2 linked regions of the Elephas maximus indicus genome follow. The protein of the gene in region 1 purifies or fractionates together with the protein of each later gene. This does not show direct contact. Links are inferred from orthologs where the notes say so. Each region holds a gene or a part of one and is shown on either strand. Other genes may lie near its edges. The genes, in order: STK4 and RASSF3.

The links.
Region 2: the proteins of STK4 (region 1) and RASSF3 purify together in Homo sapiens (affinity purification with mass spectrometry; 5 studies listed by BioGRID and IntAct, with this or other methods). This does not show direct contact. The link is inferred for Elephas maximus indicus from reciprocal best matches to the Homo sapiens genes STK4 and RASSF3.

The regions. Positions count from the first base shown.
Region 1 is NC_064843.1:24,403,210-24,412,861, reverse strand, and holds the start of STK4 (serine/threonine-protein kinase 4), read left to right. Parts: upstream 1-5,028; 5' UTR 5,029-5,091; coding exon 5,092-5,126; intron 5,127-9,652. UniProt on the Homo sapiens protein: Stress-activated, pro-apoptotic kinase which, following caspase-cleavage, enters the nucleus and induces chromatin condensation followed by internucleosomal DNA fragmentation.
Region 2 is NC_064822.1:124,833,987-124,843,275, forward strand, and holds the start of RASSF3 (ras association domain-containing protein 3), read left to right. Parts: upstream 1-5,130; 5' UTR 5,131-5,389; coding exon 5,390-5,500; intron 5,501-9,289.

The sequences.
Region 1 (9,652 bases):
AAAAAAAAAAAACTTATATGAAAATCTCTCAGCTAGTGGAACTGGCCTGCCAAGTTTACTCTGACCGAGGAGGTGAGGAGCAAGAAGGAAAGTTACAGACCAAAAGCTCCAGGCAGCCTTCCTAGCTGCCATCTTGCAGGCTGAAGGCCATCTTCCAAGAGAATAAAGAGGAGGGAGACCAAGGCTGCAATGAGCCCAGAAGACCCTGCACCCTTTTGGAAAGAGACCAGTGCAGCTGGTGCAATAAAAAAAACTTATAGGTTACTTAGAGTATGGCTATGGCATTAGTTATGTCAAGCTCTCAGTCGCCCATTTTGAAAAGGAGAAAACATGTTGCGAAGTGTTAGGGTCACACACTGCCCTTTGGGAGTTTACAGTTCAAATTATTTGTGTAAATTCCTAAACTCACCAGACTATAAACTTGCTGAGTGTTGGGTGGCTGTTCCATCTGAATCCCCTCAGGCCAGAGAAAGTCCCACCCAAGAAGAAAGAATGACACCTTGGTGGGGAAACCAGATGAGGCATACTGTGTTAGTGGTCTACTCAATAGCCTCCATCTTTGCTTCCAGAGTCCCGATTTTTGCCTGGAATTCTCTCAGGTCCTGGAAAGGAATCAGGATTGCTTCAAACCAATCACAGTAACCTCATTCTTTTTTGTCAGTGATTGGTCCAGAAGTGGGCATGTGACCCTGATCTGGCCAATGAGGTAAGAGGAAGGCTACTGGGTGCTTATGGGAAAGTTTGTCCTCCCTGAAGAAAAAGACAGGTACAAGATAGAATAATCTTTTTGGCTCTCTTTCTACTTTGGGTAGTGTTAGGTTAAGGATGTGATACCTGGAGGTGTGTGGTAGCCATTTTGCAACTGTGAGGCAATAAGTACAAGTATGAAGAGCCAACCAGCTGAGTAGGATGGGTGAGGAAAAATAAAATTAACATTGTTGAGCCACTGAATCAACCCTGGAACTGCTGACTTCAGGACTTCTTGTTGATAAACAACAAATGTCATGGCGCTGAGACAGATAGGGTTAACTGTGCTGGCGGACTAAGAGCTGTTAAAAGATTACCATCTGAAGTTGGGTAAACAGGAACCACACCCTGTCAACATGGGAAAGGTTGAAACAACCCATGAATTACTATCTCTTCTTAGTGTTTTTCTAGTCCCTTCCCCCTGTACAGGCGCCACATGCACAGAAGCCAGATGCACATACAACCTAATTAACATGCACCACCATCCTGAGAAGTACCTGTCCCTTGAAAGAAGCCCACTAAGTATTCATTACTCTGTTGTCTCCGCCGAACCCATATAATCCCTAGCCTTGCTTCCCTTTTTGAGTCAGTCTTTTGGAGAGGCTTAGTCCCCTACTGACTCCTTTGACTTGACCCAAGGAAAATAAACCTTGCTGAAGATAAAGTTTGCCTTTCACGTGTATTTTTACTAGGGAAAAGACAAGGACCCTTTGTGTCAGATTGGCGATTGGTAACAGTGCCTTAAGCTGTCTTTTAGATATTGTCAATTACTTGCAGCTGGATATGTCCTAATTAATACACCAGACAAGTACACTTGTGGCAAATTGTGTTTTTGAAAAATAGCCACAACAATATTTCCAGACCCACACGCTCTTCCAGAACCTTACAGCTCCCCCATCAAGAGATGGAATCTATGTCTCCTGTCATTGAAAATGGGCAGGTCTTTGTGGGCCCCTCAACAGTGGAAGTGACTCTATGTAACTTGCAAAGGCAGGCCATTAAAATGCACCACAGCTTCTGGACATGTCATATGTATGGAATCATATAATATTTGGTGCTTTGTAACTGACTTTTTGCATGCCTCACATTTCAAGGTTCATCCATGTTGTAGCACGTATCAGTTCTCCATTTCTTTTTATTGTTAAACAATATTCCATTGAAGGGATATACCACATTTTGTTTATCCAACCACCCATTGATGGACATTTGTGTTGTTTTCATTTTTCAACAGGTGACTTTTTGATATTAAGATCTCTCTCAGAGTTAGCCATCTCGTCAAGGCCGCATTTAACATAACTGGGGAAAGAATAGATACTACAGATGAAGTCATTTTAATAGGGTAATATGCACACAGATTGTCATGGATTGAATTATGTCCCCCCAAAAATGAGTGTATCAATTTGGCTTGGCCGTGATTCCCACTATTGTGTGGTTGTCCTCCATTTTGTGATTGTAATTTTATGTTAAAGAGGATTAGGGCGGGATGTAACACCCTTGGTTAGGTCACCTCCCTGATCCAATGTAAAGGGAGTTTCCCTGGCGTGTGGCCTGTACCACCTTTTATCTTACAAGCAGCAAAAGGAAGTAAAGCATGCAGAGAGTGGGGGACCTGATACCACCAAGAAAGCAATGCCAGGAAGAACGCATGTCATTTGGACTTGGGGTCCCTGCACAGAGGAGCTCCTAGTCCAGGGGAACATTGTCGAGAAGGCCAACAGAGAGAGAAAGCCTCTCCCTGGAACTGATGCCCTGAGTTTGGACTGTTAGCCTATTTTACTGTGACGAAATAAACTTCTCTTTATTAAAGCCATGCGTTTGTGGTATTTCTGTTATAGCAGCACTAGATAACTAAGACAGACATTATTGGAGAAATATGTAATACAAAAAAAAATTTTTTTTTTTGCCTTTTAAATATTTCTCCCCTGAGTTAATTGATTTATAAACTGGGGATAATAATCCTTAATCATAAGGTTATTTTGAGGGTTAAGTCAAAGATCAGAACAGTGCCTGGCACATAGTATATTCTCAGTAAACGGTCTTCCATATGACATCAGGAGAATGGTTCTATTATACCTTGTCATTTTTGGCACGTGGGGTGCCATAGATAGGTGGCCCTGGAGGGTGTTGTTTAAGTGCTAAGTTTTGTAGTCACAAAGTCTAATAAAGCAAAAAGGAAGTTTTATTTGGCATATATTCAAAAAGGCAAAAGTGGGAAGTGGACAACCATGCTGCCAGAGTCACGTCTGCCAGAGTCCAAGGAATATTACAGAATAGGCAAGAATGGGAAAATGGACAAGCATGTTGCCACAGCCATGTCTGCCGGAGTCCAAGGAAAGTTACAGATCATCAGTATATATTAACGTTACAAAATGGGGAAAACCATCAAAAGCTTCATCTTTTCATAGATTGGGTAGAAACTGTGATCCTACATTTGGAATTGCCTTTCTTAACAATCATTGGTACAGGTTTCAGTAATGACAGTCAATAGGGTCTTCATTGGTCCAACAAATTTTCCATTCACTAAATGCTAATAGTAAGAGTGGAAAGTCTTTTGTGCACTGTTGATTGGCTTATGTGAAAGGTTCCCTGAAAGATATTTTCCAAGATTATCCTACCTATTGTCTTTATACTTCATGGCCTGGTTGATTTATTCTCGTGACTTCTTGTGAGTCCAGCTGCAGCTGGGTCACATTCTCTATGCTCAAGGACAGAGAATAATGATTCCAATATTATTTCCTAAAACAGTAGATGGCATACCTTTTGGAAAAACAGGACAATTGAAACTTCTGAGAGTTTGCTTTGGGTAAGCTTTCTCCTCTAACTCTTCTCTTCAGTAAATTGGGAAGAACACTGATGGTGGTAGCGACTGAGTATTTCTGAATTGTAATATCTGGAACTGGAACTCTGAGTTGGCAGGGGGAGGTCTGTCTCTCTTGCCCAACTAGAAGATACGCATAACCAGTTATCTAGTTTGGTGGGGCAGGCTCTGGAATCAGACCTAGATTTGAATCTCCAAACCTCTACTTTTAGCTGTGACCTTGAAGCAACACACTTCACCTCTAAGGGCTTATAAAATAACGTTAATGATAGTACTTATCTTGTAGGACTGGTAAACCAAAAAACCAAACCCACTGCCATTCAGTCAATTCTGACTCATAGAGACCCTACAGGACAGAGTAGAACTGCACCATAACGTTTCCAAGGAACGCCTGGTGAATTCAAACTGCAGACCACTTGGTTAGCAGCCGTAGCACTTAACCACTATGCCACCATGGTTTCCTGTAGGACTGGTAGGAGGATTAAATGAGTTAATGTTAGTACAGTGCTGAGAACAGAGCACTCTTTTTCAAATAGTTATAACCAATAGCCATCAAGTTGGTTTCAACTCATGGCTACTCCAGGTGTGTCTCAGTAGAACTGTGCTCCATAGGGTTTTCAATGGCTGATTTTTTGGAAGTAGATCCCCAGGCCTTTCTTCCGAGGCACCTCTGGTGAACTGAAACCACAAAGCCTACTGCATTAACCATTTGTATCACTCAAAACAAAAAACCAAACCCGTGGCTGGTGGAGTCGATTTGACTCATACACGGTTGCTATGAGTTGTATCACTAAGCGACTCCCAAAATAGTTATGCAAACACATAAAGACAGGGATAACCTTACAGACTTGATGTGAGGCTTAAATGAGATACTAAATGAATGCAAACACGTGGCAAATGCTATGTAAATGTTTGCTATTTCTGTGTCCAAAACTGACTCAAAGGCGAGGCAGTTAGACAGGGTGGGGCAATTTGCAGATAGATGTTCTGTGACATCCAAGGGAAGGGTTTGCACTGGGACAAGAGTTCAAGCAGGTAAGAGTTCTCCAGGAGCCCCTGAAGCAGGGCTTCCCATAAACAGTGTAGAATTTAGATTGCTAAAAATCGACAGTTCTCAACAAGTCACCGTTTCGCAAGAAGATTCAGTATCTCCATCTGAGAAAGGGAGGGCCAGAACCGGCACAGAAGTGGGTTCCCGACCAGGGACCGAATGTCTCTGGCAAACGATGCCGCTAGGAGACTCCACCACCAACAGTCTGAAGCTCAGGCGAGGACGCAGCAGGGAAAACACTCTTTCGCTGGGCGGTTCCGTGTTCCCGCCTTGCCGGGCCACGTGACTTAGATTTCTGACCACGTGATCCAGGTCCGCTTCCCCGCCCCCTGGCGGCTCCGCCCCGCTCCCGCCCTGCACGCCGCTTCCGGTAGGGGCGGAAAGCGGAAGTGTGGGAGGGTCTGTGGGGCGGGCTTGGGGAGGTCCAGAAGGAGGATGGAGCAGTGAGCGGGTACGGGCCGCTGCCGGCAGCGCCATGGAGACGGTGCAGCTGAGGAACCCACCGCGCCGGTGAGGGGGCAGTGGTTAAGAGGAAGGGTGCCGACGGGGCGTAGGAGAAAGGCGCGAGCTGGCTGCGGGGAGATACCTGTGTGGGAACCCCCGGGGAGGAGGGACCTGCGGGGCGGGCGACCTGGCTGCTGGGGGCACCTGCGGAGTGGAGATCTCTGGAAAGTGGTGGTTGAGGAGGATAAACCTGGGGACAAGTTAGGAGGAGTGCATGCTCAAGGCGAGGATCACTCGGGCGAAGGCTCTCCAAGAGGACTTACTGGGGTGGGGGCTGGTGGGCTCTGAAGCAGGATGAGAACCCATGAGGGGCCTGTCTAAGGGGTTGCTAGCCTTCCTAGCAGGAGGGAGGCTGGAGTGGACTTCTAAGGGAGGGAGTCCCACCTGAACGACCCAACGGGGGATGCTCTGCTGAGGGGAAAAGCTCTGCGCCTAAGGCTGAAGGCGTGGGAAGACAGGTGTGAGGGTCTAGCTAGGGAGCAGTCCGTGGAAGGTAGCATTTCGGGGGGATGCTCTTGGTAATATCCCCACTCTCTAGGTTGATGGTGGCATTTTCATTCCTGATGTCCAGAGTGCCTTCCTCTCGTCCTTATCCCTTCAAAACCTGATTTGGGGAGGTAGGTTAGGAAATAAGAGGATATTTTCAAGATGGACAAACTGAGACCCAAAAGAGTTGAGACAGAGCCCTATTTGTTTCCTTCTTTGCTGTAGGTCTGGGTCACTGCACCCAGCTAGGCTGTGTCCTTTTCTGGCCTCCACTGGAGTTGTCTTTAGGCCAAGATCAGGGAGATGACTGACCCTAGAAAGTTTGGTCGCAGTTGTCTTTGATTTGCTCTGTGGTCACCAGAGTTTTTGTCACCTTGTTGCATCTAGAGAAAAGTGGGGAGTAGATGCTGAGAGAATCATACTTCTCTGAAGTGCAGTGTACTTCGCTTCTATTTCGCAGAGCCCTCTGACTTCCTGCAGCAGAAGGATCACTGAAGTAGGAAGTGTTCAGTGTGTGGGAGTTAGGGGCAAGGGAGAGATGAAGCCAAAGGATTAGGCAGCACACTTGGGGTTGTTTGAGGTGGGCAAACATTTCAGAAGGCAAATAGCTGGTTGGGAAGGACTCAGAATTCACTCTTGTGTAGTGTGCAGAGACTGTAATAGAAATGATTAGCACACATAGAGTGAGTGTATACTGTGCCAGGCATTGTTCAAGTGCTTTCCATGTCTTCTGTTGAACTGTATGAAATTGCTGATATTTGACTATTATTGACCTGTAAAAGGAGGCCTGGTGGCACAGTGGTTAAGAGCTCAGCTGTTAACCAAAAGGTTGGCAGTTCAAGACCACCAGCCTCTCCTTGGAAACCCTTATGGGGTACTTCTACTCTGTCCTATAGGATCGCTATGAGTTGGAATTGACTCAGTGGCAATGGGTTTGGTTTCTTCATTTTTTTGGACCTGTAAAAATTGTGATGTCATATGGTTCAATTTATTATTAACTCGTTTAGTCCTCAAAGGAAACCGTTGTGGCGTAGTGGTTAAGTGCTACGGCTGCCAACCAAAGGGTTGGCAGTTCGAATCTGCCAGGCGCTTCCTGGAAACTCTATGGGGCAATTCTACTCTGTCCTGTAGGGTCGCTATGGGTCGGAATCGACTCGACAGCACTGGCTTTGGTTTTGGTTTAGCCCTCAAAACAATCCTGTAAAGAGAATATCTCTATATCCTATTTTACAGATGATAAAATTGAGGCACAGAGAGGTTAGTGATTTGCTGGAGGTCCCGCAGCTAATAAGTGGCAAAAACCCATTGAGCCGATTCCGACTCATAGTGGCCCTTATAGGACAGAGTAGAACTACTCCAGTGGTTGGTAGATTCCAACTCCTGTGCCTTTGGTTAGCAGCCAGGCTCTCAACCACTGTGTCACCAGGGCTCCAGTAAGTGGCAAAACTGGGATTTTAATCCAGGCAGTCTGGACCAATGTTCATGCTCTCAACTCTTCATTCCACTGCTTCTCTGGAAGTACCCCCGTTTCGCAGGACCTTGTGTATATTAGCAGATATTTACCATAGCACCATAGAGAACCAATTATAAATGTACACTGGTTGTTTCTATCTGATGTATGTGCATTCTTTCTCCTTGAGAACCAGGCCTTGGTTTAACTGAAAAGAGGATTAAGAATCTAAATTTTGTTTCTACGATTGCCTTGTGTTGTATAATCTTGGGCTAAGGAATAAGCCTTTTTCACTTTCTGACATGCTTGTTCCTGTATCTTTTGGATTTTTTTTTTTTAATTAAAATTGCAAGAGAAGAGCATTCAAGACCGAGTTCTTGGATGATTAGTGCTTTCATGATCATCATAACTAGTGGGACTACAGCCGATAAGTTTTTAAAAAACTCCATCGGTTTATCTTATATATTTATTGCAAACCCTATCAAATTCTGTGTGAAAGAGAAAAACAAAACTAAACCAGTTGCTCTCGAGTCGATTCTGACTCATGGAAAGAGGGGTAGGTGTATATCAATAAAATAAATCTTACAGGAGTTCTTTGGACGTGTCATTAGGAAAGACCAATCCTTAGAAAAAGACATCATGTTTTGTAAAGTAGAGGGTCAGCAAAAATGAGGGGAACCCTCAGTGAGCTGGATTGATAAGATAGCCACAACAGTGGGCTCTGATATATCAAAGATCATGACGATGGTGCAGGACCAGGCAGAGTTTCATTCTGTTGTGTATAAGGTCGCCGTGAGTGACAACAACAGGAGTTCTAAGTTGGGAGAAAGAAGTTTGAGAAACCTGTGTGACCACTTCATAAGCACCCTTTTAAAAGATACCAATGTCTTTTCAGAGATGCAGTTGGTATGCCTTTCCAACAAGGGCTAGCAACTCCAAGGCAGGAAATGCTCTTTGTGTTCATGAGTTTGATTGTTGTGTGTGACTAAGTGAATGATGCTGGATTAAAGTTGGTATCTTATGTAGGACTTGATGATTTAAAAAAGTGAGTGCGGTTAAATAATGTCGGGGTGGTGGAACATGTAGATTGCATTCCTGGGATGCTGGCCACCTACCTGGTCATCTGACTGGAGAGGAGCATCCACTGGTATTAGGTCCACGGAGGCTGTGTTGGCCAGGCCTGTTTGCTCATGAGCAAGTGCCGAAACAACCTGGGACCTGGGTAAGTCCCAGCCAAGAGAGCTGCATCATCAAAGTTGGGCTGTTTTGGTCATCGTACTTGTTCCATGAAGACTCACGGTATGAAATATCATTAAGAGTCACTTATCAGAAGATTTTCCATAGAAATCTTACTCTTAGGTGAAATACTGTTTTATTTTGAAAACTCATAAAACTTGTTGACGATGGTTATGATTCCTATCATTATATTCATTAATGCATTTAGCAAATATTTATTGACCACTATTTTTTATCAGGCACCAGAGATGTAAAGGCCCCTGAAGTTCAGGTTGTTTTAAAATAACTCTGGACTCAACACAAACAAACAAGGAACCACTTAGATTTTTATAAAGGACTATCTGAGCAGCTGCATGAAGTTTGTCTGTCAAAGTATTATCAGAGGTTTGCAGCCGTTTCACTCATGGCATTGGCAGTTTCCTTTGTTATGCTGTGGTTTCTGTAGAAGTTGAAATAGTGAGTTTTGCTTTTTGTAAACGGTAGCAGTGAACACTTCGAAGGAATACATTTGATCTTCCTTTATATAAACTATTTATAAAACTTTAATTACACTTAAGAAATGAGGTATTGTCTATTGTTTATACAGTTAAAAAATTCAGGGCTTAAAAAGAAAAGCCAAACCAGAAACCCTGGTTTTTGAGATGTTCGCTCGAATTTCTGAATTCGTAGAAAATTTGCTTCTGAAGTTTAAGAGGAGTTTCACTTCAGCCCCTTGTGTTTAAAAAAAAAAAAATGTGTTTAGAAGCTGGGAGTTTTTATGATGTCATTGGAATTTAATTTTTAGGACCTTTTGATTTCAAAGGTCAGTGTGGCATTTTATATTAATTTTCATGTTAAGGCAGTTATTGGCTTGGAGCAGTTCTCCATTTTGTTAGTACATGGTCCTTGATATTTATGATTCTGTAAGGTTGGCCTTTTGAGATCAGTCCTTGTTGGTAGATACACTTAATCTGTTCAGGTTTCTTCTCTTCTCTTCTGGTTTTGCCATTGTCTCAAGGAAGATACACATTTGTGTATGTGTGTGTATAATTTTTTTTTAATTCAAATCTTTTTTTTTAATAAGAATTGGTATTGTCCACCTAGGTTAGACTTTTTTCTTTACAAAGAACTCCCTAGCTTGACTACTTCCATATTTCACCATTTCCTGAGCTCACTTTTCTTTTTTGTCCTTTGTAGTTTCAGGAAGCCATTGTGTAGAAGATACACACTCACGCACACACACACATATACACAGATTTCTTAGCAAGCTCCTTCTTTAAACCCATTAATAATATAAAGATAGAATCAATGAATGTAGTTATTTTGGGCTTTAGTCTACAGAGATCCCAAAGTTTAAAAAAAAAAGTTGGTAATTTATAAC
Region 2 (9,289 bases), on another chromosome or scaffold:
AAGCCACCTACCAGACTTGCTTTCCCATCTCAGTGATTGGGATCGGCCTGCCTGGGCCTAAAACAGTCCCTGGCAAGGGGATGAGACCATCACAACTGACTGGAAATCTGGATTCACCCCTGAGCTGGGGATTGAGCTTCTTCCCTGAGAGGAGGGCCCCTGAACTAAATTGTTTGGTTAACAAGGAAGAAGTAGATAATGGATGTTGAGTATGCAACAAGGTCTAATATTTGAGGCAAGAAAGAGTAATATTTGCTTAGCCTTATTCTGTGCCAACGGCTTTCACGGATTCTCTCATTTAATCCTTATGGTAACCAGTGATGAACCTGAGACACGGAGAAGCTAATTTGTTAAAGGTCACGCAAGGCTGACAGTTTCAGCATTCAAAGTCAGGTCTGCCCGGCCTCCAAGGCCATGCTTTTTCCAAATCACACAGGTTTCAGTTATCTGTCAATGTGGCCTTTAATATAAATTTATTATGTATCTCCCTGATAAACTACCTGTTTCTAGCACCAGAACAACATTTACCTACGATTATATTTACATAGATGTAATTATATTATAGATGCTGATTCATGACTTGCTTTTAAAAAATATTTGCCAATTTCATGAGTGAAAAATGTACTCCTTTGTTTTCATTTACTTATTCTCCATCCAGGTGCCAAAGGGGTCCTTTAAAAAAAAAGAAGTGAAATAAGTCAAATCATGTGACTCCTCTGCCCAAAACACTCCGGTGGTTTCTCATCTCAGAGAAAAACTAAAACCAAAGTTCTCACAAATGTTTTCAAGGTCTTGTAGGAATGATAACCTCTTTGTCCGTGTTACATTTCTGATCATAATTCCTGTTGTAGGGAAAAAACATCACAAAGTTTAGTAAAGAAAAAGAAAGTTTTATTCGGCATATATTCAAAAAGGCAAAACTGAGAAGCGGACAAGCGTGCTGTCCGAGCCATGTCTGCCCCAGTCCAAAGAATACTACAGAATAGCCAAGAGTGGGAAAACGGACAAGCATGCTGCCATAGCTATGTCTGCCGGAGCCCAGTGAAGATTACCATCATGAGTACATATTAACATTGCAAATGGGCAAAACCACTGAAAGCTTTGCCTTTTCACAGATTGGCTAAAAACTGCGATCCTACATTTTGCATTATCTTTCTTAATAATCAGTGGTACAGGTTTCAGTAACAACAGTCTGGAGGGTCTTCACTGGTCCAACAAATTTTCTATTCACTAAATGCTAACAGAAAAAGAGTGGGAAGTCTATGTTCTGTTTGATTGGCTTATGTGAAAGCTTCCCTAAAATCCATTTTCCAAGATTATCCTAGCTATTGTCTTTATACCTCAGGGCCCAGTTGATGTGTCTTTGTGAATCCTTGTGAGCCAGGCTCCAGCTGGGTCACATTCTCTATGCTCAAGGACAGGGAATAATGATTCCAATAATATTTTCTAAATCATTCCTAATATTCTCCCCTCCACCTATTCATTTCAGACACACTGGCTTCTTTGCTTTTGTTTAAACATGCTAAGCACTCTCATACCTCAGGACATTTGCACTTGCTGTCCTCTCTGGCTGAAATGCTTTCCCACAGATATCTGCAGGAGTGGCTTCTTCATCTCCTACATTATCCTTGCTCAAAATGTTCCTCCACGAGAACTTCAATAACCAGGCTACGTAAAACATCCTTTATCTTTTTTCCATGATTTATGTGAGTATTTATTATCTTCTAACACACTATGTAATTTTTATCTACCAACACCCACTAAAATATAAGCTCTATGAGAATAAAGATTTTTGTCTGTTTTGTCCAAGTGATTTATCCTTTGTGATGAGATCAGTATCTGGCATGTAGTATGTGCTTAATAAATATTTGCTGACTGAATGAATGTTTTAATATACTTATTGGTTATTTACATTTCTCCTCTCATGAACTGCTTGTCATGTTCTTTGCTTATTTTTCTGATGAGATGTTCAACTTATTTACTAATTTACGCAAGCTCTTTGTATTTTAAGGATATCAGCCCTGTGTCATTTATACGGCAAACATTATATGGCAAAAGAAAAAAGTTTGTCTTTTGTCTTTTAGTATTGTGTATGTGTATGTGCAAAATATTTGGATTTTTACATAGGCAAATCTAGAAACCTTTTCCTTTATGATGCTGTTTTACATTTATTAGGAAAAGTTGGTAAAAGAAAAATTTTACTTTTAATTGTAGTTAGTCAAAGTATGGTTGTGCCTTAAATTTCTCCTACATTTATTATAAATGAGTTTCTACCATTTGTGGACTCAGATAAACACTACTTAAGGAATCTGACTAATGATTTAAACTTTTTGGTTGATAATTACATTTATAGGATTGTTGTTCTCATTGTGGATTATCTGGTGAGCAAGAAGGTTAAACTGTTACTTAGGCCTCTTCTTTTGTATTAACTTAAAATAATTTGATTGCAGGGTTACTAAAATACAATTACAAAACGGTTGTGTGTTTATAATATTTGCAGGTATTTACTACATTTTAAATATATTCCCCACATACACAGAAATTATACGGTCTTTCTCCCGGACCGTAAATCTAAATCATTAGGGTTTTACAAATTGCTGGAACATTAATGGTCACAGAATCTACTCAAACATTCAATTCTGTGTTTGACAGCAAGTCCTTTCAAAACTAACCTTGGTTGCGTACATGTTGTTTATTCCACTCCCTTTCCCTGAATTTTAAATGTTAAAAATGTCAAGTTGCTTAACGTAGTATTTTGAATTTTTACAAACACTAAATTCATTAACCAAATTTTAAATTTGTATTTTTATTAAGAATGCTATAAAATATAGAAATATGATTATTATGCTGGTTTTGGAAACAGAAGGCCAATTCTTCTTTCATTTATTATTTTTTTGCTTTTTGTTGTTTGAAAGTAGTGCTTCTACTTCATTATTCAATCATGCCTTTTCGCTATAATTGATTCTGTTGGTTTGCTGAAGGATATAAAAATTAATTCGGTCCTTTGTAACTTACAAACAATAGAATGAAAAAATTGGTTTTTATGGCATAAAAAACCCAAACCAACCCCATTGCCATTGAGTCGATTCCAACTCATAGAGTGACCCTATAGGACAGAGTAGAACTACCCCATAGGGTATCCAAGGAGCAGCTGGTGAATTCAAACTGTTGACCTTTTGGTAGCAGCTCAGTTTTTAACCACAGTGCCACCTTTTATGGCATGGTCGACCATAAAGCACTTTCATGTATTTTCTTTTTAATATTTTCCTCAGAGTATTCAGAAACTTTAAAATAATTTGTTCTGGATGGGGTTATTTCCCCTTTCCACTCATAATAAAATAAGTTATTTGAATTCTTTAACGTACACATCACTCTTAAATTGGATTATTTAATAAGGATTACATTAATGAAGTAGTGTAAGAATGGAAACCAAATAAGAAAAATCTTTCATAAAGTAAGTAAATCGTTGTATTCTCTTCCATGAGGTTGTGTGGAACATACAGGAATCAGTTTAGACTGGGCAACACAATGTGGGGTTAGAATTCCTGGCTTCTAACCATTTAGTAGCTGTGTGACTAAGAAGGCTTTAATGTTGTGGATACTTTAAAAGGTGCTGTATGCCAATGGAGTTGTTGTGAACCACGTGGGGGTAATATACAGCTTTGCCAGTGGGATGTGTGCAAAGTGGGTCTGAGGCAAAGTAAGTAGGTGTGCAAGCCTTGTTTTTGCCTGGGGGCTAGATAGGTGATTTATGAACTAATTTTACTTCTCTCTTTCCGGCCATCTCTGGTCCAGCGCTCCTTCCACTAGTACACAAATGAGCAAGGCTGACCACCAAACAAGTGAGGGCCTAGAGGGGTATTTTTTAACATGTTAACACTTTTTTTTTTAACACCAGGATAAAGCAGAGCGGAGTGGTTCGTGCCCTGACACCTACAGCTGGCTCCCTTCCTCTCTCTAAACCTCGGCTGTTTTCAGTGTAAAAGAGGCATAAAACAGTACTGACTACCTTATAGAGTTGTTTTGAAGGTTCAGGGAGAAAGCTTAGCTATGATAGGTGAAAATTTTCTCTCTTAACCCTTTTCTTCCCCTCCTAATAAAACCTCTCCTGAAGCCTACTTACTGTAGCTGTGCTTTTCAACATCTTAGGGTTCAAAACAACCTTCAGGATCTCTGCTAGGAAATGAGTATAATTTAAACAATTTAGTACACACAAAGGTGTAAATGACTGGTACCTATAGGTGGTTTGCAGGGTGATTGTTCATTTTAAGAGAAGATTTGGGGACTTGTAGAATTTTAAAAAAGTATGGCAACTTTTTTGGTAGGTGGATGAATGAGATTCTTTGATGCCCCTCACCCCCCAAACTACTTAAACCACACCTGTAGGTTCACCATGTAAGGCAGATTTAGGAAGCGGACGTTTAAAAAGTATATTTAAATAACAAGCACACAATTGTTTAACACTTTCTCTATTGAACCAGTTCATTCCCCTCTGCACCAGGTGTCTCTGAGATCACAACGACCTTGGCTGTCCTCAACTGGGAATGACCCCGCGCTAGAGAGAAGGGGAAGAGGGAAAGAACGGAGCTCAATTAAATTGCCAGAGAGGACATTTTCATTCGAATAAACTTAACCCAGTTGGTAATTTCCCCGCCATCTCCGCTAACTTCTAACCCGCCATAAAGGGCGATCTGTTGGGAGTTTGGGACGGCAAGTTCCGGCTCCAGGACGCCCGAGGTTTAGGGTCCCCCACCCCCACCCCACCCCACCCCACCCCACCCCACCCCCACCCCCACCCCCACCCCCACCCCGGCCAGGCAGTCTTCACCGCCACCCGCAGGGCTCAGAGTGGGAGCGAGTAGGGCCGCGACCGCGGGGAAATTTCCCAGCTCTGCTCCCGCCCTCCCCAAAATGCGAACCAGCGGAGTAGGGGGCGGGCGGACAGATCAGAGACGACAGTTTCCGGGAGGTTGGGGAAGCGATCCAGGGCACCGCACCACTCTACGCAGCTCCCGAACCGGGTTTTCCCGGTTGCACAAAAACGGTTAAGAGCCGAGCGCCTGGCAGGGGCGGGCCGCTCCGCCCCCACCTGCGGCCGCCAGGGGTGGGGCCGACCGGACCGCCCGGCCCAGGCAGGCCGGCTGTGGGGCGGGGCCCCGGAAGGCGGGGCGGTGGACGCACCGGGTCCCCGGCAGCGCCAGGAGTGGGGTGGCGAGGCAGCTGGAGGGGCGGGACGGCCGGGCTGAGCGGCGGCTGCAGCTGTAGCAGGACGGCCCGCCGGCGCTTGGGGGCCGCGCGCCGGGAGCCTCGCGGGGCAGGAGGGCGCGGCGCCCCCTGCTTGGCCGCCTGCGCCCCGGAAAGGCTGCCTGTACGCGACGGGACCAGCAGCATGAGCAGCGGCTACAGCAGCCTGGAGGAGGACGCCGAGGACTTCTTCTTCACCGCCAGGACCTCCTTCTTCAGAAGAGCGCCCCAGGGCAAGCCCCGCGCCGGTCAGCAAGTGAGTGGTGCGCTCAGAATGACCCGCGCCCCATCGCTCCCTGGGGTTAAGCGGTCCCGGGCCCCCAGACTCCACGTGGCTCCGTGGGGTCGCGCGAACGATACTCGCCGCGTATAGCAGGCGGCCTCCGAGAAGTGGCTTCTGCCTCTTTGGATCCCGGGAACGTGCCTCGAGTTTGTGCATGTGGGCGTGCTCGCAGGGGGCGCCCTGGGTGAGCGAAGGAGGAGGAAGAACGCGGAGGCTGAGGCGCCCCCTCTTGCCTTCCGCGCCAGATGGGCTCTACGGCTCTGCCCCGGGGCTGCTGGTGATCGCCGCGCTCTCGGCGGAGCCGGTGCGCTGAGCCGGCTGCCGGGGAGCAGTTCCGAGAGCGATTCTGGTGCCCCGGACCACTCCTGGCGTTTCCCCCGCGTCCGGGGAACGCCCTTCGCGCCCCCGTGGATAAACGGTTGGGTCGGCGTGCCAGCCCCTACTCTTAGTCTTCTCAGTGACCAGTGGCCCTCTGAGTGCCTTGGCGGGGGGGTAGTGGAACCGGGTAACAGCAAGGGGGTGGACGCGGTGACCAGGCCGCCTCCCCCTTATTGGTCCGGGAGCGTCTTGAGGGAAGCCGAGGGCCTGACGACAGTAGACGATCAATAAATGTTGGTTGCGGGAGTCAAGGTTGTGCGTTTCCTGTGAAGTCAAGTTTATAGGTGCCTAGAATGTTTTGCAGACAAGTTCTGGTGCTAGGTAAATATGACCGCTCGAGCTAAGCTTTAGGCCGGTTTCTTCCTTTTTTGGAGGAAGCATGCCCTGGGAAGCATGACTTGGGAAAAGATGGGAAGGGAACTTGGATCAGTTTCGCCGGCCGTGACACTGTTTTTCAGGGAGGTTTTCCCAAAACTGAGTACTTCGGCAGGACTTCCAAGTCTGGCGCTTGAACTCGCACCCTCCAGGCCCTGGGAGCCGCACCAGGGAGCCCTGCCAACTCAGCCATGCTCACATCAGATTAGAGAAGTCTAATGGAACAAATTTGTTGCTCTTAAAAAGCAGCAGGCACACCAAACATTTCTAACTGACTTAGTCCTGGAGACTAGAAGCAAGAAAAATCATTCAGGGGCCTGGATGATGAGTTTTAGGGGGTCGGGAGGCAGTAATCTTTCAGGGTTTCCTTGCCAGACCTTTTAAGTTTATTTAACCACGTTCTGAGCTCAGATTTCTTTTTAAGATTCGGAAGTTGTAGTCTTTTCAACCTCTTAAGTTTCAAACTAGAAGGAGGGGGAGAGGGGACGGTTAAGGGCAAGAGTGAAGTCAAGTGCGCTTATTCAGTAACAGCAGTTAATTCAAAGTGAAGTTCTGGTGTAGTAGTTTTTCTTTGTTGTTTCTGAGGCTTAAAGGTGCACACTATTTATTAGTCTCTTTGAGTGATCTCTTGTCTTCCGTGCAGTGTATTCTAATGGCATGAGATTTCTGTGAAGTTTGGAAGCCAGAAACCAACCTATAGCCCCAATAGGTTATAGAAGAATTGCATTTTGGGGGGCCTTTTTTCCCTTGGCCCATTTGTTCCTCTCTATTCTTTCTTTCCTTTCTCCACTCTGTTTTCTCCTTCCTCTTATGTTGCTGTTACCATTTGACATGCAGTTGTCAGACATGATTATAATAGTTTGAAGTTTATTCCAGAAGTGCCTGGTAATCTCCAGTAACTTGCAGGTTCTTGGGTTCTCCTGATGTGAACTGAGAATCCTTCAGTGCTTAAAGATAAGAGCATCGATTTTTTCCTAAGTGTATGCACTTACAGTGTTTCTGTGTTACACTCATTCATTTATGTAAGTCATTTAGCATATGTATTATGCTCGTTCACGTAATATTGTTCATTTAGCATTTAGAACTAGCCTACCTTAACGAGTGTTTTCAAGTGTTGTGCTGAAAATCAGGATTCTAAGGTCTAGTTCTTTGCTTGAAGAGGTAACTACATGTGTTCTGAAGCTTTGTTGCCTGTATACTTCCCCTTTTGACCTAACACATGCCAGGTCTAGAGATAGGACTTATTTGACGGGTGAAGAAAGTGTTCTAAACTTTGAGTCTTAGATGGAATTTTGGCTTATTTAAAGAAGTGACTGAGAGAATCTTTTAAATTCCTGCTAAGATTTGTGAGTTAAGGAAGTAAAACATAATAAATACAAAGCAAGGCACTCTTAATGTAGAGGATTTCTGTCACCTAAGGCTAGGCAAGCCTTCATTGTATTGTGCTGGCAGTTATAAGGAAAAGATAAACACCACTGACGTATAATGTAATATAATCTTTTCTCTAGAGAGATGGAAAGAGAATTGTTGCCATAAGAGCTCTTATTGATAATACTGGGTTTTTTTGGTACTGTACCACCTGGTGGAAAAGCTGGGAAAACTCTTGAAAATATCCAGAGAAAGCAAGATGTTTGTGGTCAATACAGGATGAGGAGAAAGGTGGGGGCAGAAGAAATCTTTCTTCTCTTACCAGGCAACGGAACATATCCCAACTTCTGTCTCCCAACTCCTTTCCGTCCACAACAATAAAAAAAAAAAAAAAAAAAGTTATTTTCCTTCTTATTTTGGTATCCTGTTCTCTTGGAAACAAAAAAAAAAAAAGGAAGAAAACAGTTAAAAATTCACTTATATGGGTGTCAAGTGAATGAACATATGGCCTTTTGTAGCTGTTTGAATGTCACGTTTGTCACTGTATCCTCAGGGCCTAGACCAGTACCAGTTGTTGCTCAGTGAATACTAGTGACTGAATTAATGCTTTCCTGGTTTGATAATAATTGGCTCTTTGTTGTTTTCAAAAATCTTATGATTCTTCCAAGAATCCTCTGAAGCACTAACCTAATGAAAGGTGAGGTGCTGTTAAGCGATCACCCTGAAAGGCCCACACTTGGGGTAAGGGCTGGAACTCAGGTATTCTGATACAAATCCCAGTCTCCTTTTTGTTGCTTTATCAGCTATAAAAATAATTTAAAAAAATCCGTTTTCATTTGGCAAATGTGGACAGCTATAATTTAGGAGTTGCTTAAAATTTCAATCTGCTGCCCTACCTATAAAATCCTGGGTGGCACAGACGTTTTCTGGAGTAATGCTTAAGAGCTACAGCTGCTAACCAAAAGGTCAGCAGTTTGAATCCACCAGGTGCTCCTTGGGAACTCTATGGGGCAGTTCTACTCTGATCTATAGGGTCGCTATGAATTGGAATTGATTAGAAGCAAACAAGGTTTTTAAATTTTTTATTAACCAAAAGGTTGATGGTTTGAACTTACCCAGCAGCACTGCGGAAGACAGGCCTGGCAGTCTGCTCCAAAAGGTCACAGCCTTGAAAACCCTGTGAAGGAATTCTACTCTGCACACATATGGTCACCATGAGTTGGTTGTTGTTTCAAGGAGACCATAGGTAATAGACAGTTCTGTAGCTCATAATTTGCCTATTCGGGTATTCCAATAAAATCAAACTACCTATGGATACAGGACACGTTCAGGACACACAGAATGGCCTAGAATCATTTATATAATCTATTGGAGCACATCTTGCCTCATAGCTTTTTCTTCTTTGGTAGTTAACGGGAATAAGGAAATGGGACACTGATTTTGATTTAAAGTATAGTAGTCAAGAAGTCTTGAAAAGCTTGAAATTGTCTTCTAAACCATACACAGCTTTTAAAATTTTTTACTGAGGGATTGTTTAGTAAGGCAAGCTTGTGAGATGCCGTGTACCAGGCCTCAGATATCTCCCTCGGTGTTTTCTTCTTCTCGTAGTTTAGATATTTTTGCGGCTCTTTATTTGGTTCT